Linked DNA regions of Schizosaccharomyces pombe. The protein of the gene in region 4 interacts with the protein of the main gene of each other region in a pairwise test. Each region holds a gene or a part of one and is shown on either strand. Other genes may lie near its edges. The genes, in order: SPOM_SPCC1827.05C, cbc1, pgk1 and nse1.

Evidence for each region.
Region 1: the proteins of nse1 (region 4) and SPOM_SPCC1827.05C interact in a two-hybrid assay, tested with the Schizosaccharomyces pombe proteins (one study listed by BioGRID).
Region 2: the proteins of nse1 (region 4) and cbc1 interact in a two-hybrid assay, tested with the Schizosaccharomyces pombe proteins (one study listed by BioGRID).
Region 3: the proteins of nse1 (region 4) and pgk1 interact in a two-hybrid assay, tested with the Schizosaccharomyces pombe proteins (one study listed by BioGRID).

Annotation. Positions count from the first base shown.
Region 1 is NC_003421.2:2,381,887-2,389,078, forward strand, and holds SPOM_SPCC1827.05C (RNA-binding protein NIFK), read right to left. Parts: upstream 3,796-7,192; 5' UTR 3,774-3,795; coding exon 3,737-3,773; exon of another isoform or gene 3,682-3,736; coding exon 3,296-3,681; exon of another isoform or gene 3,219-3,295; coding exon 2,811-3,218; 3' UTR 2,753-2,810; downstream 1-2,752. Other genes in the region: protein Vms1, read left to right, coding at 846-2,648; hom2 (aspartate semialdehyde dehydrogenase), read right to left, coding at 4,264-5,300, 5,605-5,641; spx2 (SPX/EXS domain-containing protein), read right to left, coding at 6,741-6,899, 6,975-7,192.
Region 2 is NC_003424.3:3,224,611-3,233,573, reverse strand, and holds cbc1 (nuclear cap-binding complex large subunit), read right to left. Parts: upstream 5,065-8,963; 5' UTR 5,042-5,064; coding exon 4,791-5,041; exon of another isoform or gene 4,742-4,790; coding exon 2,650-4,741; 3' UTR 2,176-2,649; downstream 1-2,175. Other genes in the region: isocitrate dehydrogenase Idp1, read right to left, coding at 719-2,038; tda3 (FAD-dependent amino acid oxidase), read right to left, coding at 5,382-6,118, 6,191-6,532, 6,594-6,645; TRAPP complex subunit Trs120, read left to right, coding at 7,331-7,496, 7,538-8,963. UniProt on the Schizosaccharomyces pombe protein: Component of the CBC complex, which binds cotranscriptionally to the 5'-cap of pre-mRNAs and is involved in maturation, export and degradation of nuclear mRNAs.
Region 3 is NC_003423.3:4,154,640-4,162,665, forward strand, and holds pgk1 (phosphoglycerate kinase Pgk1), read right to left. Parts: upstream 4,823-8,026; 5' UTR 4,778-4,822; coding exon 3,533-4,777; 3' UTR 3,182-3,532; downstream 1-3,181. Other genes in the region: karyopherin/importin beta family nuclear import signal receptor Kap123, read right to left, coding at 1-1,955; sam1 (S-adenosylmethionine synthetase), read right to left, coding at 7,889-8,026. UniProt on the Schizosaccharomyces pombe protein: Catalyzes one of the two ATP producing reactions in the glycolytic pathway via the reversible conversion of 1,3-diphosphoglycerate to 3-phosphoglycerate.
Region 4 is NC_003421.2:1,191,670-1,200,038, forward strand, and holds nse1 (Smc5-6 complex ubiquitin-protein ligase E3 subunit Nse1), read left to right. Parts: upstream 1-2,317; 5' UTR 2,318-2,527; coding exon 2,528-3,106; intron 3,107-3,154; coding exon 3,155-3,274; 3' UTR 3,275-3,748; coding exon of another isoform or gene 3,749-4,063; 3' UTR 4,064-4,354; downstream 4,355-8,369. Other genes in the region: gpi2 (pig-C family GPI synthesis protein), read right to left, coding at 268-325, 382-551, 598-745, 804-1,402; protein Hsp10, read right to left, coding at 3,749-4,063; fah2 (fatty-acid amide hydrolase), read left to right, coding at 6,521-8,122.

The DNA.
Region 1 (7,192 bases), 1.2 Mb from region 4:
ATTCACTGCAAAGATTAAAATTCCTTTTTCTTAAAAAATTTATTATATATACATACGTAAAATTCTTTCCTCAATTTGATGTCTTAAATTTGGTGGTTTGCTTGAAGGCATATTATTCTCAAGATAATAAAATTTTTTTTTTTTTTTTTTTTTTTTTTTTTACAAAAATAATATTAAACAATCATGCTCAGTCAAATTTCAAGTGACGAATTAATTTTTGGTATTTATTTTTTAATACGAAAAGGAATATATACAAATTGCGACTGCATCTAATATAGTTTTGAATTAGCTAAAGCAGTAGCATAATTTTTGCACTATTAATTTAAATAAATATTATTACAATCACCAACATTATACAAATGTTATTTTCGATTTTATATTTACATTCAATTTAAAATTCATAGATTTTTCACTGTTAACGACAGCTTTTTCTCAAATATTAAATTTTGGACTATATTAGTTAAATAATAAACGCAAGTATATACCACTAAGTAAAAAAATTACATAAATTTGATTTTTGATTGACTGTTTGCTCTTACCTAATTAATCCTCTTACCTATATTGTCTACAGCCTTATTTTTTTTTAATTCATTTTTGTGGCCAAAAGGCTTTAAAGTCTTAATTTACATGAAAATAACCTTTTTCTTCTTTTAATTTCAAGAAAAAATTGTAAATTAAAAGCAAACTACCTGCATCTTGTGGTCAAATTACTTAATCCTTATTAAAGTTCGTTTTTGAGTATAAGTACGCTAATTGCTAGATTGAAATTCTACTGAAAATTATTGCATATTTTGTAATGCTTACATTATTTTTAGATCTTGCTAATTACTTGTCTTCTTCGAAACATGGGTGATATTTCGAAGCACAATATTTTTTCCCTTCCTGAGGATATCTTAGCAAAACTAGAACTACGAGAGGAATACTCAGTTGAGGAAAAAACTGATAGTGCTAATTTGTCAAACCAAGGCGATATTGTTGATTCCACTCAGAAAAATATATCATCATGTGTCAATTGCCAGATTGACAATCTGCATACTCTGGACGAAAGAAAAAGTCATATTAAATCTGACTGGCATAGGTTCAATACGAAGCGAAAAATTACAAAATTGCCTCCGGTTTCTCAAGACGAATTTGAAAGCATAATTGAAGATTTACCAGAATCACTGTCTGGCAGTGAAAGCGAGACAAACTCAGAATCCGAAGAAGATAATTTCCAAATAGAGAAGGCTTTTAAACAATCCTTGAACATAGGAAAAGTTGACTCCGCTGACGAAAACAACAATCAGCGAACAAACTCACCATTAACGTGGTTTCAATTGAGTAATGCTTCTGCCGAAGTGCCAACCTATATTGGTGTATATAAACACATGTTTTCCGGTAATAACCATATCACTAAAGATTTACTTGTTCAACAACAAAATCATAACCGACAAAAGCCACTTCAACTAGCTATGTTTATGGTTGGAGGCGGTCATTTTGCTGCTATGATTGCTTCTAATGAGTTTAATCCTCGTGATCCCCATGTACCCAAAGTACTAGCACAGAAAACTATTCACAGATATACAACTAGAAGGAAGCAAGGTGGTTCTCAAGGGGCTGCTGACAATACTAAAGGGAACATTCACTCGGCAGGTAGTGGTTTGCGACGTTATAACGAACAAGCTCTTATTAAAGATATTCAGCAAGTTTTTAAAGACTGGGGAAAATTATTAGAAACATGCGATTTAATCTTTGTACGTGCAATCGGTTCATCTAATCGTTCAATTTTCTTCTCTCAACCAGGTGCTCTTATTTCTCCAAAAGATCCAAAACTCCGCGTATTTCCATTTACTACTAAACGAGCCACACATTCAGAATTACTTCGTTGTTACAAAGAGTTGGTTACTCCGAAAATTAGTCACGTTGATTCAATTTCGATAAAAGCTCAAGAAGAAGAACGAAAGAGACAAGCCGAAATTGAAAAGGAAATTAGACAAAGCAGATTACAAGAGGAAGAGAGGAAAAAGAAAAAGCTTGCTAAATATACCGAAGTAATTATCTCCAATTTGAAAGCGTCTAATATTGAAGCATTTTTGGAATATTTGCGCTCTAATGATTTGTCTATAAATTTTCAATTTTATCCTAAAAATGTTCATTTGCACACATCTACACCGTTGCATTACGCAGTTACCCAAAAAAATGCTAAATTAGTCGCTAAACTTCTCCGTAATGGTGCTGATCCAGCAATGCTAAATGGGAACGGAAAGACACCTTTTGAGATTAGTACTGGAAACAAAGAGGTTAAAGATGAGTTTCTAATTGCAAGGCATGAGTTGGGAGAGTCATTTTTCGACTGGGAAGCAGCTAAAGTTGGGGCTCCTCAGTCTAGAGAACAAATTCAGAAACAACGCCAAAAGGCAAAGACCAAATTAGAAAATCAAAGAAGGGATAAAGAGAGGCAAGAAGAACTTAGACGGAAGGAAGCGATGCAGAAAATTGAAGAACAATCGAAAAGGGATTATGATAAACTGCACGGCGAAGGTCATTCATTAGGAATTAATAATGTTCGAAAAGTTGACGAATTGCAATCATTAAGTCCAGAAATGAGAATGCGAATTGAACGTGAAAAAAGGGCTGCAGCTGCCATGAAAAGAATGCAAACAAAATGAGAAGCATAGTTATTTTAAATTAAAAAATACTTTACTAGAAAAAGACAACAAAAGGAATATTGTAAAAATATTAATCTTAGTATACGTTATTCACAATTCTATTATGCATAATAATAAGATATTCCAAATATTATTGTTATTACTCTAAAACCCCGTATTTATTTATTTGTGAGCAGCCAAAACCTTTTTGTTCTTCTTTTTGCTAGATTTTTTCGAAGCAACTGGACTAGCCGCCTTGGGATGAGATACATCCGATTCCAAAGTAATCCCCAATTCTTTGAGCTTGCGCTTTTTGAGTTTAAGCTTCCGATTATGGCGAGTAATTAACTTATCCGCTTTCTCCTTGCTTAATGGTTTTTCATGCTGAAGACGCGCTATTGTGGCATGAGGGATGCGTTTAAAAGGAACGTCGGCGCCTTTAAACATGTTTTCATGAACCTGGTCTTCAGGAATAACCTTACATTGTAAAAGCTTTCCATATAAAAGATAATTATGCATTGTCTCAGCAACGACATTGGCAACGTCTAACGATTCAAACTCGATGAAAGCATAATGCTTACTACTTCCTGTCTAATGCAAAAAGTTAGCAGTCGAAAATAAAAAGAAGAACTAAAATAGTCCGCTGTAGATAATAAATGTTACCATACCTTTCTATTGCGAGACATGCGAAGACGTAGCACAGGACCAAATTGAGAAAAATACATACGCATCTGTTTCTCATAAAATCCATGAGGAAGTCGGCCAACATACAAAACACCTTTTTTCTTTTGAAGATTCTTATTTTCAGAAACCTTTTTCTTTATGGTTTTCTCAGCATCTTCGCCCAAATCCATAATTTGCCTTGAGGTATTAACTAGCGCATTTGGAGAGTCTTCTTCATCATCATCTGAAGAACCGAAACCAGGAAAAAACTCTTTATCTTGTCCTTCTTCATCAGAGTTATCTACATGACCTTGTAATGATATATGCTCGGCTTTTTCAGCATCTTTGACTTTCTTCTCACGAAGAACCGATTTCGGTTGATTCACCGATTCTAAAATCAATTGAGTTAAAAACCATACAATAGTGATATTATTCCTATCACTTACTTTTCGAAGACTTTATAGGGCTCTTTGCCTTCGACATAATGTTTTATAAAAGTATAGGTATTGAACTGAATTTTTCCAGTGTCAAAAACGGCCAGATGCCTAAATTACAAGTTGTTATACATTTCCTTAAGCTAGACATGGTAGAATTTGAATTTGCGTTAAATATTCAAAAAATTTTTTAATCTACGCTAAATTTTTACAAATTGGTGTTAAAATTCGTTATTCATTTAAAATGGGAAAAAGTAGAAAATGACTTACTTCAAATATTAGAATTATCGATAGTATTATTCAATTACAAGGAATACAAATCTTTTGAAGGCTTCCGTTTTGGTTCGCAAGCACAAGAAACTTGATTAATAGAGGCAGTCCTCTAATTATATCACTGGCAAGGTAAAATAACAGCAAAAATGAAATATATTAACAAAGTTTTTCTTTATTCAAAACCTAATTCCAACTTTTAAGGTATCGAAAAATCCGTGGCAAATTTTGAGAGAGAAGAGTTATAACAAGAACAGGAAATTCGTTGTTTACATAAGTCCCTTCTTCACCGCAACTTCAGCATTCAAAATACCAGCACCAGCAGCACCCAAAACTGTGTTATGGACGAGGGAGACAAATTTAATATCAAAGATGGAATCAGATCTGATACGACCAACTGATACTGCATAACCATTTTCATTGTTACGATCGAGTCTAGGTTGAGGGCGGTCAGGAGTAGAATCATCGAAAACATAAATGGCTTGTTTAGGGGCACTGTAGCAGCCTAACTTTTGAGGTTCAGAAACATAGTTTGCCAATACTTCGCGAACTTGATCAGGAGTAGGAGAGGTCTTGGCAAACTTCACAGAAATACACATCAAATGGCCATCAATAACAGGAACACGATTGCACTGAGCAGAAACAACGTTATCAGTCAACTCATATCCAGAAATTGTGCTATTGACAGAGCCCAAGATTTTACGTGTCTCCCATTCAATTTTTTCTTCTTCACCGCCAATAAATGGAACGATGTTATCCAAAATGTCAAGACTGGAAACACCAGGGTATCCAGCACCAGAAATAGCTTGCATACTAACTACATTTGTTTGAGCGATAGGACCAAAAGCATCTTGTAGAGCTTTCAAAGGTACTACAACAGCAGCAGTAGAACAGTTAGAGTTAGTGATAATGCATCCACGATCCAGTTTGTTTTCTTGACGCTGGTACTTGATAACGTCCAAATGATCTGTGTTGACGGTGGGGACAACAAGTGGCACGGTAGGCTCACGACGATAGTTTTTAGCATTCGAAACGATGACTAAATTAGCATCACGAAAACTTTTTTCAATTTCGCCAGCAAAGTCAGCATCTAAGCCGCTAAACACAATATCGCATTCCGAAAACTCCTTGGGATCACAAGCCTTTACACTCATTTGGGAAATCTCTTTAGGCATTGCAATAGATTGTTTCCATTTAGTAGCAACTGCATATGGTTTTCCCGCAGAACGAGCAGAAGCGCCAAGAACAGCGATCTTAAACTCAGGATGATCGGAAAGGAGGGTAATGAAACGCTGTCCAACGGTGCCTATTTATGGTTAGTCATGTGTATCCAAAAACACTAGTCAGTGACACGGAACTGAAAATTTAATGTTCATCAAAAACTTATAGTACTAAAGACATGGAATTAAAATGATAAAATGTGAGTCTTTCCAGGCAATTTAATTCAAAAAGTGTACAATTAAAATGTAGACCAATTAAACAAGGAACCTAAAAAGTAAACACAAATTATTTTGTAACAGTCAATCCTTTAACTTTATGCATTTTTTAATGTACATAGAGCAATCGTTTGCAGTTTTGACAGAACATTACCATTCTAAATTTAAACATACCTGTTGCACCGAGGATTCCAACTTTTTTTATAGCCATTGTTTTTAATCAAGAAAACGAAGGTTACGTGTTCTTGGTAAATTCCTTCATTGACAAGCAATTTAAAAAAAAATATCTTATATCGTATCGCATCAGATCTTTTCTAATCGAGATAGTGAAGTCTAAAGTATTTCCGCGTACCGTAAAATAGTGAATTCTTTAAACAAATTGCCAAAACAAGCAGCATCCGTTTTGTACCAAAGTAAGGCAGATGAAGTAAACAATTAGTTGTAAAATACAAGTTCTAAAATAAGCTTTCTTTTATCTAATCTATAAGAGTAATGTAAAGGAACAGTTAATCTGGGACTTGATCAGATGTAGTCATTTTACGTCCATTATAACTTGGAAGTAAATTTAGTAGTGTCAAGCAAATATAGAAAGGATGGATGTAGTCTCATTGATTCTTTTGCAATTTAGATTTAGTACTGAGAATGATGAAAGACAATTTAATAAACAATGGATAATACTTTTATATGACCGGTCTTTTCTGTTTTGATAATGAAAAATTAGCTCGTAAGTATACTTGGCTATTATTATTGCAACAATTTTTTTACGAGTAGCTATGAGATGTATTTGAGATTAGTTAAAGGACTTTAAGTATTCCGGTCATTGGTTGATACATCAAGACATTAATGATCAATCCGATTCTCTGTCTCCAGACACGCATTGAATCAATCTATTTCACCGCACATTCTGTTCCTGACTGAGTAAATTAACTGACTTCTTTGATCATCGCTTAAAATTTACAGCACACTTAAAAGGATTCATTCATTTTGTGAAAGATAAATATCATTATTATAATTTTACTCATTAAATCATTAAGCTTCATTCATCACATTTGTTCGTAAACACTAAAGTCCCCCTTCTCATATCCATATGTCATAATAAAATTAAAATGAGGTTCGTAGAAACTTCTGAGAAATATCTTCGCATTTGTCAGAAGAAAACAGCGATACCATACTCCAAATGAGGAATACTTTTAATGCATAAAAACACAATAAAACAGCATTAATATCATCGGAGCAAACACCCAATACCGATAAGAATAATAAAAAAAATACAACTAAAGAAAAAAATAACTTGTACTTTCACGTTCTATCTAAGAAAACTGAGCTTCATCCACATCTGTTTGATCATCCATCGAATCTTCATCATCTGTATAATTCTTATCAGAAGATATTTGATGAGAAACGAAGACATCACTATGTGGCTTAACAAAATCCAAAGGCTTAAGTTCTCTAGCGGCCCGCAAATTTTCCTATAATGAAATTAGTATGCGACGATTTGAATCAAATAAAAATAAATAAAAGTAAACACAAACCAGCGAACTTACCCTATTATAGATTTCTTCGTGCTCCACACGAAGGATGTTCCACATACAACGCCGCATGATCTCAGCAAGGGTCACAAAAAAACTAATCCCTGAAGAGTGCTGAATGTGGTTGGGAAATATGCAATAGAATATAAAAGAGCTTCTAACGATAAAATTTAAGATCATAGCTATAATATACGGCCACAACTGTTTTAGAATTCGATGCTCACGGAATTGCC
Region 2 (8,963 bases), on a different chromosome or scaffold from region 4:
TAGTGTCTTAACTAGCATTATGAATGCTACGTTAAGTTTTTTCCAAACGCTCACAGCCACACTGCAGCGCGTAAGATTTGGCTGCGTAAAACATTTGGAGCTAAGAACAAAGGCTTACTTTATTTATCAGTTTAACAGAAATTACAAGTAATTAAGTAGTAGCAGTTTTTAAAATGATATTTGTTACAACTTCATTGTATTCGAACATAATAGAAAGCATTTCCATAGTGATATACATTTAATGTAGTTGGGGTTTACGTCCATCAATTGTTTAGTTTATTAGCTCAGTTGTTGAATTTTAATATTAGACCTTTACCTAAATTGTTATGGCTCAATCAATTGCTAGATAAATATGTTTAAGTGGGTTTGAAGCAAAGCTTTAAAGAATCAAGATACATTTGTAGTCAATAAACGGCAAGAAATCCGAAAGATTTCAATGAATAAATGAATAATCATTCAGCTTTTTCCTTTACGTTTAAGGGGAAAAAATTGAAAAAAATTAGATAATAGTGTCATGGTCTGAATATGCATAAAAAATTTACAAAATTTCATGATTAATAGAAATGACTTCCTACACTCCACTGTTAATTGTAAAATAATATAAATGCACACACTTCAAAATAATTGTTTTAACAAAAAGTATCCTAGTAAAAACATGATTGAATAATCCAGAACTTAAACTTCAAAGACTCACTAATCAACAGGTCTAACACTAAAATTAGGCAATGTTGACCAATTCCGAATCGAGCTCGGACTTGACGGCATCCAAAAACTCGAATGTATCAACATAACCATTGGGAGACTTGCTGAGAAGGTAAAGATCCTTTGTCATAATACCCTTCTCAACGCATCGAACACAAGCATGCTCGAGGGCGTTGGCAAACTTAACTAAACGTTCGTTGCCATCTAAACGACCACGATGGGCAAGACCACGAGTCCAGGCAAAGATAGAGGCAATACTGTTGGTTGAAGTCTTCTTACCTTTCAAGTATTGCATGTAGTGACGCTGTACAGTACCATGAGCAGCCTCACTCTCAAAAGTGCGACCGTTGGGATGAATGAGGACAGAAGTCATTAGGCCTAAGGATCCATAAGCTTGGGCAACCACATCCGACATAACATCACCATCGTAATTTTTGCATGCCCAAACAAAACCACCATTGGACTTAATAGCTTGGGCTACCATGTCATCAATTAGACGATGTTGATACCATAAACCTAGTTCCTCAAACTTTTGCTTGTAATCAGATTCATATACTTCTTGGAATGTATCCTTAAATCTACCATCATATTTTTTCAAAATTGTATTCTTAGTGGAAAGATAAAGTGGCATTTTCTTTTGCAAAGCCATTTGGAAAGAACTGTGAGCAAATCCACGAATAGAGTCGTCAGTGTTGTACATAGACATAGCTACACCACTACCGTTGAACTCGTAAACATTGTATGTTTCTTTAGCAGAAGGATTACCTTTAGGGGTGAATGAAAGTTCCAACTTACCGGGGCCTGAAGCTACCAAGTCCGTTGACTTGTATTGATCTCCAAAGGCATGACGCCCGATACAAATAGGGTTCGTCCATCCAGGAATATACTTGGGAATGTTTTTGATTAAAATGGGCTCCCGAAATACTGTACCATTCAAAATGTTACGAATGGTACCATTGGGAGACTTCCACATCTTCTTGAGGTTATACTCTTTCACACGAGCCTCATCAGGAGTAATGGTGGCACATTTGATACCGACATCATTTTTGAGGATAGCTTTGGCTGCATCCACAGTAATTTGGTCGTTTGTCTTATCGCGAGCTTCGATTCCAAGGTCATAATAATCCAATTTAATGTCCATATATGGGAGAACCAACTTTTCACGAATGATCTTCCAAATCACTCTCGTCATCTCATCACCATCCATTTCAACGACTGGGTTTTTAACAGTGATCTTTTGAAAAGATTTGCTTGAAGCCATACGCATATTCATGAAACCACGGCCTGCGGCAGCCAACTTGAAAGGTGCCTTTACGGCAGCACGTACTTCCAACATATTGTGTCAGTTTTTTTATCCTTTAAAGTAAATGAAATATTCGACGAAGCTAAGTTGAGAAGGAGTAGCTGTGCAAATGTCCCTTAAATCCTAGTTCTATCCACCAAACTGCCTCTGTTCCTCACTACTTCTTACAATAGCACAAAGTGGTTGGTTAAGTGTAAGTTACTGATGGCAGTAGTGATTTTGTTACATTTTAGCAATCCTTTCGTTAAACTGAGAAAAGATTTAGTCACTTCTGATATCGGAGATGTGAGTGAACATTTCGCTTATCCATTCGCTCACATAGTATGACACTACGCAAAACTAGAACCGACAAGTCGATCGTAAAATATCTTATCTTTAGATATCCGTTACCTCTGATAGATCTGATAACCCTGTTACCTATAAAATTGAAATCTTCGTTTCTAGTAACTTAACTGTGAAGTGCAGCAGCGTCCTACAAGTGCTTATGAAAATGGGACGTTATAATTAAATATTTAATATAAGCTATATCCACGTTCAAACGTTGTAGCAGATTGACAACGTCGTGATTACCAGTCGAGTTCTTCAGTTTAATCTTTTTGATATCAAAACAACACTTTCTTCATTTTTGTTATAGACTACTTTCTTTATTTTTCCTCATTAGTTGCATCAGCTGCTGTTTGATTATTTTCTGATGGCTGCTCATCTACTGCGTCGACGGGTTGCATTTTTGTGTCTTCCTGTTCCTCACTGGTATTTTCTTGAACAGGCTCGTTTGCTTCTTCTATCGTGTCCTTTTTAACAGAGAGGAAATTTGATTCCACATATTTTAACATAAGGTTAAGCCAATGAGATACCCATATATTTTCAGCATTTTCGGAAATAAGGGCGCGCAAAGCTGACAATAGTAAATTCGTGACAATTTCCTTTTCCTCATTCGCTTCATTGATTAGCGAAGAGTCTTCTTTGTTAGAAACCGAACGCCGCAATCTAGCTGCTAATTTATTAAAAGTGGTGTTAACAAGTGACCACGTATAACTACGAGACCATATAGTCACGTCTTGCTTGATCAACCACTCAATAATAGAGGTAATACTAATTATAGAGTAGTTCAGCATTTTATCTAGCCACATAACTGCGTTGAACGGTTGTAATTTCCAAAATGAAAAAAGTTCATCAACAACCTCTATTTCGGAATCTAATGATTTTCGAGAAAAATGTTTCAATGTATTAAGATGTTTCTCGAACACGTTCAATGCGTGCGAAAACGATCTCGAACCCAAGCTATAAGCACAAGACATAACTAATCGGACAGCAGATGTCTCGGAGTTTTGAATCTCCTCGCTCTGCAAAATAATGTCAAGTTCTTCTAACGGTTTATGTAATCTCAATGCTTCGATAATTTGACTTGACTGTTGATATAGCGGATGAGTCTCATTTTCGTACACGAAATTGGGACCCGACGGTTGTTCGCCAAGCAAACAACGTAACTCTTCAGGGAGTGAGTCAGAAATTCTTGTGTAATAGCTTAAAATAAGTTCCCTAGTAATAGTTTCCCGCATAAAAACTTTTTTTGGATGAAGATCGTCCAGCTCAACGTCAGGAATCCACTCATTCCACTTCCAGTGAAAGTTGAAATTACTAAGGTGATGTGAAAACCAGTCAATAAATCGATCAAGTGTTTGTAAAGGTAAATCAGAAGACATGGTATACATTAGCCGAATGACCCTTCCAAAAGTTGGAGCCAAAATTTTAGGAGCGATACGGCAGCATTCAATCAAAAGCGAATGATAATAGACAGGTTTATACGTAGTATTCTGTGAACCAAGAAGCTCACCCAAAACAGCTTCAACTATGATATCTTCTGCTTTCCAACGTGATTCCGATGGATCTAAATTTGGTAATTCATTTACTGGAGTACCACGAAGAGCAAAAGTTTTGTAGGTAAAATAAACATCTAAATCTGTAAGAACTTGAGCAGCCTCAACTCGGTTAAATTCCAAATGGTTTATAACATCCACACTTATATCACGAAATATGCTGGCTGCAACGTCGGAAGCGTCAGGAGTCGTGCGAATTTCAAAGTTATTAAAAAGCTCAAAAAATCTCTTGAAGGAAGGTAGCTCATTTTGCTGAGGAGTGGGCTGAAACGTCCATTCAGGAATACTTGGGCTAACCGGAACAATATGAACGAAATCAGATTCAAAAAACTTCCAGGGTTGAGATATATAAGGAAAAGTAAAGTCGTTTTCCCGAGATAGAATTAGTTGTTTATAGAGTAAGTCCAATTCCTCCTCTGAAAGATTGTCATGTATTGAAAGGGGATTACTTAGAGTTATCGAAGATTTCCTATGACGAACGTAAATCTCACATTGATCCAGTATCTCATTAGCAAAATCCTTTTTACCGAGATCGTTGTTAGCTGCGATGAAATATGGAAGGTTTATCAAAATTATGCGCAGGAAATTATCTCCCCAGACACTGGGTTTGGTTTCTTTTGAGATAGCGTCAGCCAGTAATGAAAATAGTGGCTTAAGGGTACCTGGTTGAAGTGCAAATGACATGCAAATGAGCATTCGTAGATCGACTTTAGCCTCGTAATAAAGAAAGGAGTTTAAATTCGTAAAATACTGTAAACAAAAATACGCAGCTGCTTTTTCTAAGATTAAAGGAACCCTTAATGAGGCTCTTATAATTAATGTAGCCAAATGAGGTATTTTGACTGGAATGATAAATGCACTAAGGATTAAATTAGTTTTCTGAAGGGACAGTATAAATTATCACTTACGTTGTCTGAATGCAATCTAAGATAGTTGAAATGGTTTCAGGATCATTAGCTTCACGACTAAGAGACATAGCAACATAATTAATGTCATCAGCAGCTACTGAATTTCCTCGAGGATCCGCCAAAAAGGTAATATCCTTTTTTATACGCGCTGCAAGTAGCTCTTGAGAGTTTCCTCTATGGGGACGAAATCCATAATTCTCTCCCTCTCTCGTCCTCTTTCTGGGTCGAGTTGATCCCCGATAAGAAGACATTTTGTGAGGAATGTTAGTGTCTTACTGTTGTTGGCGTATAGCAGAATTGTAAAAACACGAGCAAGTGTTCTCAAGTAACAATCAACTTAGAGGTAACGAATGGTATACTAAGTCGAGATGGAAATTGTAAAACAAAAAAAAAGAAAATCGATTTTCCAATGCGATAAAAACGAAAACCTTAATAAATATGATTAGAAAATTTTACAACACTGTAATATTCTATTTCGGTAAAGGAATAAGCATCCATTCTGCTTCTATATTTTCACCTTTCAGTGAATGAGTCCTTCGTTTTTTTTGACAAACAATTAAAACAAAAATTAGAGGATATAATTTGAAATCCTCATTCACCGAGATTTAAGTGAAAAGGATCTGTGTTTATGCTTGTTTTTTCCTTGCCAAGGAGCATTTCTGCCATACATAAACCCGTGGCAGGAGCTTGAGTTATCCCCCAGTTGGCGTGACCCGCTGCAACAAATACACCAGACTTGGTTGTTGATATTATCGGGATACCTGTTATTCTACTGGTAGGAAGGAACTTAAAAGATGCGTCTAAGTAGTTACTCTTCGTATTCTCCGAGAGCACCAAATCGGTCATTTCTTTCAATTCGATAATTTCAAAAGGATTAAAAAAACATCGATTACTATCTTTTGGCAGCAAATGGAATTTTGGAGTTCCCATAAAAATAAGCTGCTCCCGGTTTTTACTGAAAATTTCGGTTGTTTTGCAAATGTTTAGATTACCCATGGTATTTAAACAACACACAACAATGCTGTCGCCAACGGGAAAATTTCCTACCGATAGGTGAATTATGGGAATGCATAGACCTGCAATACCAGTAAATGGTAATAGATAACCAGTCCAAGGCCCAGCACTCACCAGCGTTTTATGCACCTGTGCTTTTATTATTGTATCTTCAGCTTCTTGTTTTGGAACGTATGTAATATGGTGTTTACTAACCTCTTTCACACTTCCAAATATAAACTTTACTCCTCGTTTTTCTATTTCTTTTGCCATAAATTGACAAAACAATTTTGGATTGATCATTGCAAAATCGTTGCCGGAACCGATACTAGAACCTAAATGGTTAGTCTCTATATGACTTATACAATAAAGTTATTATTTTTTTTTGGTAGCACTTATGAGCTTACATTTTTGCATGCGCTCTCGTTGAAGCCATTGCAAAGTATCGGGAACTTTGGCAACATTGGTATTGTCCCATTTCATCTTACAAAACCAAGAATTGGCAGTCCTATATTCCCAGTTTTTCTTCCCATCAAATTTTTTATCCAATCCTTCATAAAGCTTCAAAGCGAGAGTTGAAAGTGGCTGTATGATTTCATTCTGGCACAGTTTTGTCAAGATTGCAGAATCAATGCCGGAGCTACCTCCTGCTATTTCTTTTGATTCAAATATAAATATGTCCAATTCTCCTTTTTTGTATTCTTGTTCTTCTGTTAAGTAAAACGCCGTACAAATTCCAATAATGCCACCTAAAAATCATCGTCAGCATGCTCACTCATCATTTATGAAACTGTTGTTCTCCAAAATTACCTCCTACTATTCCTATCTTTGTCTTATTTCCTTCTCTACTTGTAGCGCTCATATTTGAAGTTGGAAAGTTGACTTGAAACACAATCATCTTGCTGTAACGCTTCTAAACATTACGTTATCCTCACCAGTATTTCCTTCAATCTCTCTTATTTTTTTACCATTTTGAGAATAAAATAAATAGCAATAATAATAATAACAAAACGGTTCAATATTCAACAGTTTTTGCCATTCAGAATGCCTTTCATAAATTGCTATGGCGAGATATACGATTCTTTCATGAATACCAAACGATTGTAAAAAAGGAAAAAAATTACAAAATACTCCTCCTAATCTATAAAGTCAAGTTCGCATAAACAAACGGATTTTTAAATTTTTGAAATGCCAGATTCACATTCTTCAGATAGTTTACATATTATTTACACATGCCTTAATTAAAATTACTGCAACCAGTTCATTGAGTTGTAATTATATTTTGATTCCAAATAATCTACTGAAAACAGCTGTACAGCTGTATATGCAGAATGGTATTTCCAAAGCATAACAAATATTAGACATTTCACAACAATGATAATTGTTAAGCGATATCATCTTGAAAAGTTTATTTTACCGACTTATGATCGACAATCAACAGAAATATGCAAAATAAATTAGTGATGGTATGGATGTAATCCGTTAAATGGTATTCAAGCACTTTGTTCTCAGTACGTGCTCCAAAACATTACATTGCTGGAGATGCTATGGAATTTGATTTTTTTTCGTTTGTTGCTCCTTCCAGAGTTCAATCATTAGTCCTTCCTTTTGGTCGTGTTAGAAGAAAAAGTTTCTCGTCCTACCTACAATTACTCCGCAGAGTAAGTCATATTCAGTTGAGTGATGTCCCTGTAGCTACTGCTACTAGAAAATGTATGTTTCTTATTTTTATGATTATTGACTAATCTTAATAGCGAGTTCTTTCAATCCTTTGGCTTTTCCGTTGGGCAGATTGGTGTACAATTTCCTAACCAGCCTTGATGATCAACAAGCTCTACTAGAAGAATTTGAATATTTTCGGCGCGTTTTCGTTCTTATTGGTATTGTAGATGGGTCAGAGGAACAAGAAGTTGAGCAATTATGTTCTACCTTGGATGTTTGGCGGAGAAGGATACCTCATGCGTTAGTTGCAAAATGCATCGTATTTAATTGTCCAGAAGACAAAGAGAATATATTTAATGCTCCCAATATCATAATAGGACCAAGGTCTGATTTTTCAATAAACTCCGTAATGCGGTCTATTTTATGCGATATCACTGCTGAGTTGTTAGAAGGATTTAGTTCGCTCGAGTTTTCTATACACGCGCGTTCCGTGATCCTTTCTCCAATTACTGACATGCCACATTTGGCTCCCTTGCAAAGGAAAAATTCTAATGCGTCGATTCACTCCTTAGGCTCATCTTCTCGTCCTACTTTGACGAGAACTCCCTCGATCACATCAAGATCTGTGAATAGTGTAACGGAACGATCCAAAAGTCTCTCAAAGGGGCGTATTGAGAACCAATTTGGCCAGCTATACTTGCTGGCCGGCAGAGTTCCCAATGCGTTGAAGCATTTCTCAACAGCCATAGCGCTTTCTAAAGCAACTGGAGACTTTCTTTGGCAAGGACTTTCGTTGGAGTTATTTACTGTTTGTCTGGTTATAATGGCTCATTTGCATGTGGACGTCCAGATTCCTCCTAATATATTATCCATGTTCCCTTCTTATAATGATAGATTGAATGCCTTTGGACCACTCAAATTTGATGCACTATTAAACTTTATCACAGAAATGCGCAACGTAGTTGATCAATTATATCAAAAATCCACTCTTCAACCTAATGATGCTGTCCCCGGCCTCTGTTTTTCCGAGAGTATCCTACGGTATGCTCATTTACTCACAGTTGTTTATAGTTGTAAAGGATTTAACGACAACGCTTTGGATCATATTATTGCTCAAGCCCCCATAAGACCTGTTAAAAAAGCTACAACGTATGTACCAAATAAAGCAACTATTTGTCAATGGATTATGAGAGCCCAAGGACAGCATCTTAACTCTCTTTCAATTCGTGAACGTTGTCGCATATACGGGGCTATGGCAAATATGCTTGGAAGTATAGGATTTTCTCGGTTAAGGGTCAAGATGTTGCGTGAGTTGGTTGCGAGTTTAACACCTGTACTATTAGAAACGCGTAGGCAAAATGCTTCAAAAAATGGAATACATCCGGAGGTTATTGCTTCGCATACCGCACAATCCTTTAAAAGCACTCATTACTGTAACATCTTACCTTTGATATCTGAAATATGTCAAGAATATGGCCTATTGAAAACTGATGGTAGTCTTCTAAATCCAGAATTAAC
Region 3 (8,026 bases), on a different chromosome or scaffold from region 4:
ATGGCGCTGTTAACACCCATAGCCTTTTCAAGCTCTTCATCATTTTCCTCTTCATTGGTTTCAACTGAATCTAATAGTTGGCTAATCTCCTCGGCAGTAGGCGCTCCGATACGTTCAGACAATATATCTGACTCATCTTGATCGATGGATTTGAATAAAGCAGGAACAATGTGCTCCAAAAATGGTGCGAACTCTTCTTTATAAACACGAGCAAGGACAGCATAGAAGCAGAAAGAACACTCACGAAGTCGTGAATGATCAATTTGGATACCCTCATAAGCTAGTTGAATAAGTTGTTCAGTGTAAGGCAAAAACGCTTGTTTACCAACTGCGTTTGCAATGGCACCGAGGGTATCCATAACTGTACCACGAAGTTCGTATCCTTCATCATCATCAGTGGTATGTAAACATTGCGAGAGACTAGCCATTGTACGTTCGAAATAAGGTATAAAGTCATCTTGAGCAGCAAATGCTGCAGAGCCAATAGCAGCGGCAACACAGCTCTTAATGTCAGGAGTGTCGCTGAACTCCAACAAGCCGACAAGTCTTTCCATAAGCATCGGTAAATAACCAGAAATCTCAGACTTATCCAGACCTTCTAAAAGGGCGTCAATGCAATTGCAAGCTGATTTGCCTACCTTTACACCTTGAGTTGACATCAGTTCGAATACCAATGGCAAAAGCTGAGCATGGTGTTTAGAAACTTCAGTAGGAATTTCAACAGCAATTTGACTCAATGCAAGCAGAGCTGCCTGACGAACATCCATATCATTATCGCATAAACCATTTATAATGATAGGAAATATGTTAGGAAGATTTCCAGCAACAGATTCTGATGAGCCTTCAACGGCAACGCCAATTGATAGCAAAGCAGCTTTACGATAGCTAGCCTGTGGAGATTGCGAGAATGCACAAGCAGCTTCAAACATAGGGTAAAAAACCTGTGAAGGCGACAAATGTGTAGATAGAAGATCAATGGAACGTAAGGCAAGACGAGCAGGACAATCTTCATCTATGTCATCAGTAGTTTCTTCCGTAGCAACTTCCATAAGCGTAAGGACTAGAGGCTTACCAAGTTTAAGAGCTTGCAGCTTACGTGACTTGAAACGTATGCACGAAATTATAAAAGAAAGGGCCATACAGCGAATTTCATCATCGACCTGCTTGGAATTTGCAATGCCAGTAATAATTTCAATAATATTACCAAGTGCTTTGGAAATAATGGCACCAGAAGCAATAAGAAAAGTGTTAAAAACATCAAAAACTTGCTTGCTGGCATCCACATCACCGACCTGAACGACATCTTGAAGAACCAAAAGCATGCCAGGCAAGGTAGCACGATAAGCGTGCAAAAGCTTTTTATCATCAGACTCCAAAACCTCTGCAATTGCACCAAGACCTTGAACAGAAGTAACACGAACTGTTCGACTAGAGTCAGTAATTGTTTGGGAGAATAAGTTGACAAAATCCAAAAGGAGCTTATTATCTAAATCTACCGTTTCAGCAATTGAGTAGAGAACATAAACAGCCATTTCACGAATAGAATCGTTTTGATCCATAGTGGCTTGGACCAGGAAAGCCGATAATTCATTCCATTTTCCTTCAGGTAAATCAAGCTTAGCCAAGGCAGCAATCACACGACCAAAAGCATGACGGACGATACTTTCAGGTTCCTTCAAGGTAATATCTAACAAATTACTACGGATCTGATTTTGGACATCCGCGTCAACGGATGACCAATATTTATGACAAAGCTTACGTGCCTCGATGGCAGCTAACTGACGAACTTGGGGATTTTCACAAGTTCCCATAATATGGAAAAGAGAAAGTAGTGAGCCAGGTTCCTTCAAATACTTTGTTTCCAAGGCGCGAGTGGCCTCAGTAATTTGAGTGGTATCAGGAGCGATGCTTTGAAAAAGCAGCTGAGTAAGTTCAAGTGTGAATTGAGCGTCCATTATATATATTTGAAGTTTAAATTTTTGTTGTATTTTTTGGAAGAAATATTTATGACAGAAAGAAATCAATCAAACAAAAATATTCCGATTTTGAAAACGGGTAAAGTGAGTTCCCCCAAAAGCAGCTTTCCCTATTAACAAAGAAAAGCTGAATAATAGTAAAGAAATAAGAACTTGCAGATAAATGAATTAACCAGCAAGTGTAAAAATAAGTTAAAAAAAAATAATATATTGAAATATTACTTCTCTGGAAATTTGTTCAGTTGAAATAACAATCAAAAGCTTTTCAGGATTAAGAGAATAAGTTAGTCACGGTACAACGAAGGCTATTTAAAAATGCTTTTTCGATTTTTTTTTTTCCTTTCCCTTTTCTCTATTACAAATATATATCAAATTTGTACGTTTCCTTTTCTAGCTTTTACAAACTTAAATTATTGTAAAAACAACAAATCAGTAATTACTCCAAAAAAAAAACCAAGAAGATGAGTAATTATTGATGCTGCCTCTTCAAAGAACAGCAAATCTGGTTTGTTTTAGAAGAAATTTTTGTTGTCTCGTTAGGAGGAATGGTTGCTGTATCAAAAAACTAAGGCACAACGCAAAAGATTTTTTAAAATTCTATACATTGCACTATCATATGCTACACTAAAATTCACTATATTTAATCGTTCTTTAAGATTCGCTTAGATGAACTGTGCCGAAAACATCCCATGAAAAAACTGATTTTACTTACATTAGTTTATCGATTGGAGATGCATAACATAAACGATATGGACTTGCTACCAAAAATTCGTAGTTTCGTTGTGTTTCTATAGTTTACAGGTTCAAGCTTGAATCTAGTGATATATATTTAGTATATGTCACTGTGCTACTCATTGTAGATCGCAAGCAAAAAATCCACGGCAGTGGAAGGTGTCGCTAAAAAGCAATAACAACTGTGTAGCTGACATTATTAACCGCATTAAAAGTAAAACCTGTTTCGACAAATTATAATTTAAAGCAGCTTTAACCGATGGATAGAGCAACGCGTAACAGCGTAAAACGATGGATTAAAAACCTCAACAAAATACAGTAATTCACTTAATAACGCATATAAAAAACAAACACTGAAACACAATAACGTAGATTTATAGAAACTGACTACTATCCACACAATTATAGCGCTCATACAAACATTCATTAACTACACCAAATACTAGTAGGACGCTTCAAAACAACAAGAAAAGTTTTTAATCATGAAAAATACGAGATATTCTATTTCTTTATTATAACATAAACATTTGTATTGTAAAAATAGGAAAGGAATGAGAATAATATCCAATCCATTCAAAAACATGCATTTCATCACCAAATCAATCAAAACAAGCTGACCTGTAACTTGAGAAAAACAAGCCGAATCGTCTAAAAATGTCTTTCTAGTGAGCAGGTCAAAAAAACAGACACGCTGTTCAGTCAACCTAACCCATTTTCTTAAAGACAACGCCAACAAATTCACGAATGTTAGAGAACTCTAACAGTAATTAAATCCATTATAGAATAGAGTCAGATGAGAAAGGCATTGAGAAGGAAGTGGCATCTTACTTGGAAGAAAGAGCAACGACACCGGGAAGAGCCTTACCCTCCAAGAGTTCAAGAGAAGCACCACCACCGGTAGAGACGTGGGAAAGAGCATCCTCCTTACCGTACTTCTTGGCAACAGTAGCAGTGTCACCACCACCAACAATAACAACGTTACCAGCTTCACAGGTCTTGACACAAGCATCAAGCATAGACTTGGTACCCTTGGCAAAGTTGTCAAACTCAAAGACACCAGCGGGACCATTCCAGACAATGGTCTTGGAGGTGGTGATAACCTCGGCAAACTTAGCAGAGGACTTGGGTCCACAGTCCAAACCCATCCATCCGTCGGGGATACCCTCCTCGGCGGTGGCAGAGCCAACCTTGGCGTCCTTGTCGAACTTGTCGGCAGTGACGAAGTCAACGGGGAGGAAGACCTCGACGTTGTTCTTCTTGGCCTTGGCCATCATGGATTCGACGTTCTTGGAACCAGCCTCATCGAAAAGAGAGTCACCAATCTTCATACCGTTAAGGACCTTCAAGAAGGTGAAAGCCATACCACCGCAGATGATAAGGCGGTTGACCTTGTCAAGAAGGTTGTCAATAAGTTGGATCTTGTCAGCAACCTTGGCACCACCCAAGATGGCAAGGAAGGGACGAGCGGGGTTCTCCAAAGCCTTGGAGAAGTAGTCGAGCTCCTTCTTCATAAGGAAACCGGAGACACGGGGGAGATCGACACCGACCATAGAGGAGTGAGCACGGTGAGCGGTACCGAAAGCATCGTTGACAAAGATGTCACCGAGAGAAGTCAAAGACTTACGGAAAGCCTCGACGGCAGAAGCGTCAGCCTTAACCTTCTTACCGTCAACCTTGGCGGAACCCTCCTCCTCGATGTGGAAACGCAAGTTCTCCAAAAGGATGACCTCACCACCCTTGGCTTCCTTGCAGGCCTTTTCGACCTCAGGGCCAACACAGTCGTCAAGGAACTTGACGGGCTTGCCCAAAAGCTTGCTGAGCTCAGCAGCAACAGGCTTCAAGGAGTACTTGGCAACACGAGCACCGTTGGGACGGCCCAAGTGAGACATCAAGATGACAGCCTTGGGTTGTTGCTCAAGAGCGTACTTGATGGTGGGGAGAGCACCAACGATACGGGCATTGTTGGTGATACGGTCACCGTCCAAAGGGACGTTGAAGTCGACACGGATCAAGACGTTCTTGCCCTTCAAGTCGACGTCGGTGATAGCGAGCTTAGTAGACAAAGACATGGTTATGTGATTGATTGATTCTGGATTGAGACGGATTTGTCTTTACAGAAGGCTTTAGCGCTAGCACCTTGGCCTCATATTTATACCCCAATTAATCGGGGAGGGTGAGGCATTTAGAAAGTCGATGGAATGCCGTGGATCATATGTATGTTTCTAGAGAAACATACCGACCATGGTGTGTTGACGGACGACGACGAAATCGGAAGAGTCGTCAGGTGACATGAGACGCCGATCAAGTAGCGTTTCCGCCAGAAGCGGCTGTCAGGAGCATTTCACTGTGACGTAACTTTATATACATTTTGAAACAAGTTGCATTTAGCGTTACCTTTGTAATCGTTTATTGACGAATCGGAAAAATGTATCCATCATTTGGGGAATCGGAAAAACCTAGTTAAAAAGGTAGTGAGGCGTATGCTACCTACATTCTGACCATAGTGCGCCTGCGATAGCATACGGTAAATGTAATTTTTCGGAAAAACCTGCTATCTACTATCGCTTCGTAACAGAGGGTCGGAAAGGAAAACGGGATTGGACAACGACATGCATCCACGACGTTTGCCGAATATTTTCGTCATTGAGCCTTTGAAAAATAGAGTCGCCATAAGCGAGAAGTTTAAAGCTTGTAAACGTATCTTTAACAAATTGCGCGACTAAATTCGTAAAACATAAGTAAGGAGTGATAATGCGAACGTGGGTTGGTTGGGAGTTCGCTGCTCCTTTTCCACCTAGTGCTGTTTTGTTTGCCTCTATAACGAATGTGAAGGTTGCAAAGCTAAGGTTTGCATCGGCACTGTTATCGATACGACGAGAAGTGTTGCAGAGAAGGATGCAGCTAGCTGGAGTACATTCAATAGCAGCTTAAATTAATTTTTGTAACGTTAATTAAATTAGCGATTTTTGCTCGTCAAGTAGATTCAAAAAATTTTTAAAAGTCAATTCAACATTTGCAACAGACATCAAGCAATAGCTGAATAGCAAATACTGAGAGATTTTGCTCGTAAATTGTTAAGTGCAGTATTGGAAAGTGTAGGATCAATATCTGCTAGTTTCAGATGAAATTCTAATTTACTATCATGCTTCATTCCTAAAGTGTCTTTTAATGTAGCAAAAACATTTTACTGGATTTACGTTTTGGACAAACGTTTTTTTTTGATAACAGCTTCTTTTCACAGCATGAAGACACACTTTTCGACATCAACAATACAACATACTCTGTGTATTCATTTCGTGCGTATCACTATATGTCCCATGTTTTATTTACTCTACCAACTTAACGTGATAAGTTTTCATGCTAGAGATTTTATTATATAATATGATAAGATAACTAGCTGTTACAATACTAGCAATTCATAGTGTAAACTGAGATGAACTGAATCTCGTTCTCCACTTTAGCTAAGGCTTTTTCAGTAAAGATAAAGCATACATTTCAAATATTAGAATACCTTTTATTCAGTTGCTACTGTGTTATTTACATATTGCAATATATAGATCACAAGGAAAACTTACCGTAGGTTCATGTATTGTTATAATATATACTGGTTAGCTACGCAGTTTGATATCTGTTTTAACGATATATAGAACTGCGGTGAGTTTTTACTTGCGATCTACAATGTAGCGGTATGCGGTATGTTAACTAACAATGTATATTTATTGTTATAAGAAGTCTGTTAGTATCGGTCACCGATATAGCTCATAACTGAATTGAGGAACGAGGTTCAGTTGTAGCTCTATTTATAATCTTTCTAATAGTTGTTATCAACGGATATCTATGATCTGATGTTGAACATGTGACATATAGTGATACGCAACGTAGTATGTCATATCGTAGTGCAGTATTGCTGACAATACCATATTATGTGGTTGACTTCTAAAGTAGTTTAGCAGATTGAAGTAAATATTCCAAATGTTGTATTATGGTACACCGTATTTCTTTCTGCATGTTGACAATGCTTCCTAATTCATCTGATAATTTTCCTATACAATATCTGATGTAGACATCGAATTTTGCTTGACGATACCCATGACAAAGACAAGAGCCTTCTTTCATAAACTTCTTAATTATTTGATTTGAGAGTTCAAAGTCTGCTCTAGCATTGCTTAATCAACGAGTAGCAACATCTATAGAATTTGAGATTCACAATTCAGTACTCAAAATATGCTCCAAAAGAGAAGGTAAAAACCAAACAGCAATAATAAAGAAGGAACCTACAAAACCCCGGATTCCCATGTTGTCTCCAACCATAGTACTAACGAGGCCCTCAGACGCTTAACTGCAGTGATCGGACGGGAACTGGTGTTTTCGCCTAGGTATGGCCGTAGACATCTAGTGAAGAATTTTTGAATATTTATACTACAAAAAAAAAGACCAATATAATTCTAAGTACTTTTAGGATCGCTGAGAATCCATCGCTTATTCCATAAATACAATAATGTAAGCAAGCAATGTGTTTTAATCCAATGACATTTACTATCACAGATCATCTTGAAAGCTGAATGATTGTCTACCTTTTTAAGTTTGACATTTTCAATTCATTACAAATTACAATAAAATCAAAACGCTTGTATTGTGTGTGCATGCACCTTGTTACAAGTGAGCGAGCTAAATTAGCTACAGTGAAGATGAGTACTCGTTCTTATACGATTAAAACACTATGTCTTGAACCAAATCCATTAACATATAATTAACTCAATTTAAACGAAAGTGGCCAACTAGTTGAAAGTCAGCAAATAATAACTATCGTGAAAAGCATCAAATAACACTAAGCCTATCGGTAAAAGAAACATTAACATGTCGGTATGCAAAAAAATTTTTGGCTTAGTGTATTTTCCGCTTCGAGATGCAGTCATAAACACAAAGGTTGAATTTGTGCCTACCCAGTCCAAAAAAAAATACATATCCGTTGAACCAGGACTTAACATATAAAACCATATATCTTTCACAATTGAAGAACAAAGAAGCAAACATAGAATAAATAAAGACAACTCTAAAATCTTTTCATCTTTAAAGAAAACCATGTATCCATAAAGCCATCAACTGAGAATTCGTTACATGTTCTAATCGTATTTAACGTAACAAACGAGAAAAGCTAATGATAGCACTAAGCTATCTGTCTAAAACTTAAGCTCCTTAGGTTGTTCCCAAGGCTTGGATTGATCAGTGAAGTGACCGTAAGAAGCGGTGGAAAGATAGAAAGGAGTTTGAAGCTTAAGGCTTTTGACCAAAACACCAGGACGAAGGTCAAAGTTCTT
Region 4 (8,369 bases):
TATGGTTAAAACATATTATTCGTTACCAACTTTGAAATTGAATTGTAGTATACTTTTAGTTGGTGGTGGAATAAAACTACAGAGGAAAGAGCGACATAAATTTCCATTTAATTAAAATCATTCAACTCTAAAGAGAGGGAAATCAAGTTTGGATACAAGACATGTCATGCCATCATGAAGGATTAGACTGAAAGACGGCCAGTCGTAAAAAAAATAATATATTTTTTCGCAAAACGTAGTCAATTAAAAGCAAGCTCGCGAATTAGGCTAGCCCTTACTTGGACCTAGCTTTGGTAATGCAATATCCCAGGGACCGTGAATTTCACTAAGATATATATGTGAGAATTTAGAAAGAAATAATAAAATAAAATAATTACATACTTTTTAAATCTTTGAAGCTTAATAAACCAAATGGGACATATAAACGAAATGAAAAATATTAATGAAAGAAAGACAAACGCAATAACAACAGATGCAACAGCATTCAAAGCAATATATGCACTTATGATCAATACGAGGGTCATAAGCATGTCAGCGTAAAAAGAGAAAACCTGTAATTGGTTAAATAAAAGAAAAGGCCAATAAATTGCTTCTTACATGAATGTATTTGCGAAAAATGGGGAATAGTGCAAACCAATGAACGGCAAAAAGAATAAAAAAAAATACATTAATTGACTTTTCCAGTCGTGAAGCTAGAACAACAGATGCACTCAGCGCCGCATTTGTTGATAAAGAATTGTGTAGCCTAAAAAGAAAAATAATTAGAAATGGAATTAATTACGATGAAGTTTCCAAAGACGTACCTGACATGAGGTCTGATAGTTTCCGTCGTATATTCATGAAAAAATACGTTCGCAAGGAAAAGCCAAACAGCAATAGCCCAAACTGAGTCAGGAGAGGTAGATTTTGTTAATGACATTAGAATTGGCGATAGACCAGCAAGCGTAAGAACAATTAATATACAAGATTTAACGATCCCCATGTAATTAGGAAAAGTTCTATTGTTACAAGGCTTTCTCAACACAAAATCCCACAAAATGAATGCCGCGACCGCAGAAACATTTGACACGAAACCAACAAGCGCACAAGATAACTGGTTCCTATAGATCGAAACGAAAACCGAGGCAAATATAACTACGCTTGATAGATGCTGGGAGACAGGTAAACTATCGGCCACTAAAGACCAAAAGTCAGTGACTTGAATGTTAACATTTCGTTGTAAGCCATTCAAAAAAGATTCATCAATGAAGTTATCTGGGTAATCTTGTTTCCTCCATAAAACCTTTTTCCAAGGTTTCTTTAGTTCAACAACTTCTTTTACAGAGGCTTTCCTGAACGTGTTCAAGACGAGTGATTTCGCGACCATCTTTTTGGGCGCTGGAGCAGCACATACTTCATCCATTCAGTTTTAAAGTAATTTATAAATCAACTAAATAACTACATTCGTCCTAAACTCTCATACAAATTAAGCTGAATTTGCTTCCAATACCGTATTTTCAACAGTTCTTAGAGTAGTTGGATTTGGTTAACATCGACTGACTATAATATAAGTTGACTAGTACTGTATGTTTGGGTCCGCAAACAAATAAACCACACTTTCCTAATTTAATTCATATATATCTACTTTAAAAAGTACATTCAGCATCGTTAAGAGTTTTTATTCCCAAGAAAATGATTTAACTGCATGACTCTGAATATAGGGTTGTTCATGAAATCTGCAATCGCGCATACTCGCAATTGGACTTTAATCTATCAATTGACAATTCAAGTGATAAAATTTACGACTGAACTCTTATAAACCCGAATTCAAGCATTCTAGTAAGCTAATAAGTCAACATTAATTATAAACAATTATTCTAAATTCAACGAAAAGTAAACTTTCACGAACAGGGTTTACATTTTACGAAAAATATGTGTATTCTTTCTAACTTTCCCTTATTCAAAAACTGCAAAAGGTTATCTCTTAGTTTCCTATTCTTGATGTACGTTTAACTCGTAGTGTTATAAAATACTTGAAAGCTAAATGTGCGTGGTACAATAAGATGATCAGTAGAAAAATATGCTGTTTTTTTTTTTTTAAAATAAATATAATAAATGTTCTTGTTCCATTGCTTGCATCTGTATGTTTTCTAACCATGTTTATGTGCGTAAACAATAGAAAGAAAAGGATAAAGAAAGAAATTTCACAAAAATATATAGCATAAATTTTTTTTAAAAAAAAGAAAGGAATATCTGCTGCTTTTCACAAATTGTTCTAGCTGCGCGTATTTAATGGTAATCAAATTTTGTTTCACACTGAATACTGATTTCATCTACTACCAACATATACCATTACACTGTATGTTTCATGATTGTCAATATATGAACGGACTATTTTAAGACAAAAAATCGAAACGACCATAAAAATTTGATAAAAAATTGAAAGGAAGCTAGGCGTTTTGTGCGTGTTTGTTTAAATTTGCATTGGTCAATTAACGCGTCAATTAGTAATCAAAATAGTAGAAATACAAAAAAAGGAATAAACGGTATGGAGAAAGAGAGACAAGATGGATTATCTGACAAGCATAAATTCATTCTTCAATATATAATGTGTCGCACAGCTGGTGTTGATAATGAACAAGTTCGTGAACTTGTTCAAGAGCAGTATGGAGAAACGGCAACTGTAGAAGATGTAATAAATGAATTGAACAATTCTTTGCACAATTTCGATTTTAAGATAAAACGAGTACAGGATCAACTGGATGGAAGATTAACGCTGCACTTTCAGAATTTATCTGGAGACCCAGTATCCCAAATGGCTACTCCTTACCCTCCTGTTCAGATAGAACTTATGAGAAAGATAATCGAATGGATCATGAAGTGTGATGATTACCAATATTCATTAACGACTCTGCAAATCCAAAAATTATCGAGAAAAGAAATGGGATTGGCACCTAGTGTTATTGAGTCTCACTTACATACGTTTGAACGTGATGGATGGCTAAGACAGAGAGAGGGTATTTGGACATTTACGAATCATGCGTTAGCTGAATTGGATGCTTATTTACACAACGAATACGAGAGCAATTTATACGAATGCAACGCTTGTCGCGAAATTGTAATTGCTGTAAGATACATATCACAAATGCAAACTTACTAACTGAATACCTTATAGGGATATGTATGTGATTGTGGCTACTGCTTGCATGTTTACTGTTGCAAGCATTTAGCTCATGTTAATTGTATAAATTGTAACACGCCATGGGCAAATGCGACCGTTATAGGACGCTGGTAATTTTTTCACTACCTACTGGTGTTCGCTTTACTTGTTTATACATTTGGGCTACTTGGGAAAGGATATAGAAAACTTATAAAATTAACAGTTTTTAATGTTGGAAAAAAGGGTTCGTAATTAAACTATGTGGAGAACACTCGCATTTTAAACTGAAATCGTTAAAATTCAGGTGAAGGGTTAGACTCATAAAACACGAACTCAAAATCTTCTTTACAAAAAAATAAAAGAGAAATGACATCGATCATCAAACGCATAATCACTGTCATTTTCTTTAAAAATGTCCGCATTTACATCACATTTAAATCTGAGTGCAATCGTCCTTAAAATTAGAGCTGTTAAAAAAGCCATCTTGTACCAGTTTATCGTAATTTGCTGCAAGAACAATAACAAAAGATGTTTTTGCGTCCAACAGCTTTTTTTTTAGTATGCTTAATAGGCAGTGGCTGACGAAGAAAAAATTACCCATTAATTAATTTATTCCTTGATGATAGCCAACAACTCGTGATCACGGTACAACGAATACTCCTCTTCGCCCACCTTGATGTTGCTTCCACCATAAGCAGGCAGCAAGACACGATCACCAACGGCTACGCTGGGTTGAGCCAGTTTACCTTCCTTGTTATAACCGCCCTTTCCGACGGAAATAACACGACCTTCGGATAACTTTTCAACGCTCTTCTCAGGTAGAAAGATACCAGAAGCGGTTTTGGTGTCGGCCTTGATACGTTGAACCAGAATACGATCCAAAAGAGGCACGATTGACTTGGCGGATTTCAGTTTGGTAGCCATGTGAAAGAATGCAAAATGATTTTAAAAAAAAGCCTAACAAATACAAAAACTGTGGTTAATGCCAATATATTTCCGTCAAAACTTGTTCGTTTTGGGCAAGTGCTCAGTAGCTTCAGTTGAAGCTGTGATCCTCCTTATTAATCTTTTGCAGATCATCTGGAAAGTTCTACCAAAAGTTTATTTTGCGTTAATACTCAAGGTTCCGGTAAAACACAATGCGAGATTCGGCTCCAATATGCTATATTTTAATAATGTTAACTACGCAGTTTGGTATCTGTTTTAACGACACGCAGAACTGCGGTGAGTTTTCCTTGTGATTTAATATATAGTGTAGTATAGCTGACATTGCCCTCCCCAAGATTTTCTATGTAAATCTGAGGATAAGTCATATGTTCTCAAATATTTAGATTATTGTTTTTAATATAATCATTGACAATTGCTTTGTCCGCTTGTAGCGCTGTAGCTAATGTAGTCCATCCTGACATAATAGTACTCGGATTTAGATTCGAAATGTACTTAACGTTTAAATAGAGTACTTGTTCTCTATTTTTATGTTCTAGGATATGGAGAATTGTTCCTATGTCGGATTCATCAATGGTAGCGTAATTGAGTTCTGAATTATGTCGATACTTTTCTAGGTGAGAAACATGAAAAGTAGATGGAAACATGTGCTTGATTGAATCTGGAAGATCCAATTCATAGTTGTTTGGGCCCGACTTCTGTTACACATAGAACGGTCCTGCAAAACTGACACGTATCATACATGTGATGCAAATCACAGTAAGTGTAGTTATGTCGTGAATTACTAACATTTACTTTACAATTAAAAGATAGAGTATATAAAAATGGTATTGCTGTCAAATAATTTAGTTGGAAAGCCTTCATTCAAGTTGGATATTTGTCGATAACGATGGTTTCCGTACCACCGTAAGAAATTTCTGGTTTTCTACGCACTGAACGCAGTTAAGGTAATTTTTGCTCAAAAAAGTAAACTGATGCAAAAATGGTTGAGATTTTGTGGAGGTTAAGCGACAATTTGATTATCGCATACTTAAAAAGGTGAAGGTCGAAAATTGAAGAATTCGAAATAAAGCTATCAGTTATTGACATACTCTAATTCCCCCGTATTGATGATACTGGTTCAAGGAGAAAAGTCTAGCTGAAATATGCTAATCTAAAACTCATGTGATTTGGCTTCATAAAGCATCATCATTAAGATAACTAAGTCATAGTTTGCTACGCCATAACACATCAACGAGCATGTCTCAATGAAAGGGTGTACAGTCAAGGTGATTGTGATAAAATACCAGAAGCAATCAAAGTGCGTCTTTGGTGTTTTGAATGAGAGAAGTTAGTTTTCAAAGAACTGAAATTACATTTATTTATTTAATTTTTGAAAAAGTGGAATTTTCTGTTTTTGAGAGTTACGACGGAAAGCATAGAAAGAGTACTCTTTTTTTTATATTTGTTTATATCAACAAAATCTGATTGAATTTTCATATTGAAATGTGTTATCATTTCTTTGAATGTGCTTTTCACAACCAGAGTCAGCCGGTCAATCTTGCAACTTTGTATTAACTATACTGATAAAAATTAGTTTACCATGATTAAATTTCGATTCTTCATTCTAAACATACACGCTGCTTCATCTTTATCGTCGCATGCTGTGTTTGCGCATTTGTTATTGATAAAACCCTGTCTGCAATCATGACTCAAGGTCCCTTTAGTCTACTATTTGTAAAGAAACCCCCGGAATCACTCATTTGCATTTTACAACATTTTTTGGTTTCCGTTTTTAGTTAGATACGGACAACCTGTTCGCTTCTTACAGCACAGTTCATTGGACTTCTTCTAATTGCAAATTCATACCATCTTCAACCGAAAAGTAGAAAGACTTTTCTAGTTTCCTCCGATTATTTACCCTTACTCGCCGATAATTCTACATTTTCTTTATCATTTTGCTGGATAGCATCTCAAATACCGAAGCTCCGTTTACTCCTTTGAAGTAACTTGTTTGCTTAATCTGACCACGTTGTACAGTAGATAAAATGCGACAAGGGTTGTGGAGTATCTAGCGATCGGGTAAAATATATAGGCGGGCAAAGGTTCTGGATAACTAAGTTCATTGAAAAGTTGGCCGTTATCCATAATACGTTTGGTACTTGATTATCATTTGAATGGCAAAGATGCGTCAAGCTTATAGATACTGAGTATGAGAAAAGCACTATTTAAAGAGATAGGTTCCTAACCCGTAGGAAGTATATCTGAAATTGTGCTTTGTTAATTCAACAATTTTTGATATTGGTTTGACTTTTGTCAGTATTCCTTGGCCTCTTTGACTAAAATCCATTGCTTGCAACGTTGCATGTGCTATTGGTTTATATATACTTCATCATCCATACATTCAACTGAGCATTTTAATTTACTTTCATTCAATCCAACAGTTTCCTATTCACAATGACGATCGATTGGAGACAAATTGCTGCCAAATACTGTGCCCATCGAGATGGTAGTATTCCTGAACCTTTCAAAATTAAAACACTACCTAAGGATACCGTTTTGAATGTTACCAAAATTCCAAGTGAGTGTGGTCTCCTTACACCGAAGGAGATCGAACTCACTGAAAAATATGATGCGACAGCATTGGCCGAAATGATTAAGGATAGAAAAGTCACGAGTGTGGAGTTAGTCACTGCATTTTGTAAGCGTGCAGCCATTGCTCAACAACTTGTCAATTGTGTGAATGAACTCTTCTACGAGGAAGCTTTAGCTAGGGCCGCTGAGCTTGACGAGTACTATGCAAAGACGGGATCTTTGGTCGGCCCCCTTCATGGAGTGCCAGTTTCGGTGAAAGAGCATATTTCTATCAAAAATCACACTGCTACAGCTAGTTTTCTAGCGAAAGCCAACATTATTGCTGAGAAAGATAGTGATCTAGTTGCCACCGTTCGCAAAGCTGGTGCTGTTTTCTATTGCAGAACCCCCCAGCCTCAAGCTATCATGCATTTGGAAACATCTAGTAACCTTACGGGTGTAACCGTCAACCCTTTCAATCGAAAGCTCACACCAGGTGGTTCCTCTGGCGGAGAAGGTGCTTTGTTAGGCATTAAGGCGTCGGTGCTTGGCATAGGTAGTGATATTGGAGGGTCGATTAGGTCTCCTGCCGCTAACAATGGGCTTTTTGGCCTTCGCCCTAGTACCTTGAGATTATCACGCAAGGGTTGCCAAGGCGCTGTTAGTGGTCAAGAGACCATTCTCGGCGTAGTGGGTCCACTTGGTCGCAGCGTTCGTGACATGAATCTCTTTATGAAAGCTTGTATCGATAGCCAACCTTGGCTTGATGATGCATCGTTGTTACCAATGCCCTGGCGTTCAGTTGCCCCTCCTAAAACGCTCAAAGTTGGTATAATGCGTAGTGACAATGTTGTGAATCCTCAACCGCCTGTTGCTCGAGCCATGCAAATGGCTATTGATCAACTTTCTAAAAATCCCGATTTTGATTTAGTAGATGTAGAACCTTTGGATCACAAATATTCATGGGATCTTATTAGCGAAATGTACTGGCTTGATGGCGGAAAGGTTTATTACGATTTGTTTAACAAGGTGGGAGAACCAATTTTGCCTTTAACTGAATGGATTATGCATCAACCCAATGTTAAACCTCATGACATTACGGCCGTATGGAAATTGACTGCTGCTAGAGATGAATATCGCAATCGTTATTTGAAGCACCTTCAAGCATATGGAGTTGACGTTTTACTGACTCCAGTGGGACCTAGCCCTGCTCCTAAATTAGGGGAGGCAAAATATTGGACATACACATCTGTTTGGAACTTGCTTGATTTGCCTGCCGTAGTATTTCCTGTGACCACTGTTGATCCTAAGCTCGATGTTAAAGATGAGTCATACATACCGATGAATGAACAAGACGCAGCAAATTATGAAACATATTCCCCTGAAGACTATTTGGATGCTCCCGTAAGTTTGCAACTTGTTGGCAAACGTTGGCAAGATGAAGAATTACTGGCTGCCCTTGATAAAATTGTCAGCATGCTCTAGTAGGGTTATTGGCTTTTATATTTTTTGGAGTTTAATGATAATGGATATGTTCGTTTTATTTTTTTTTTATATACAAACTTTTCTATCTTTACTGTTCAATAGAAATGCGGTTTTTTATCAAATTGTTAGATGGACTTTGATTAAAAAAAGATGATAGGAGTAAGAACTACCGTACATATTTTGTTGTATGAAGAAAACTGTACAAGTAAAAAACATGCTATGTTATGACTTGAACAGTTTCCTGTCA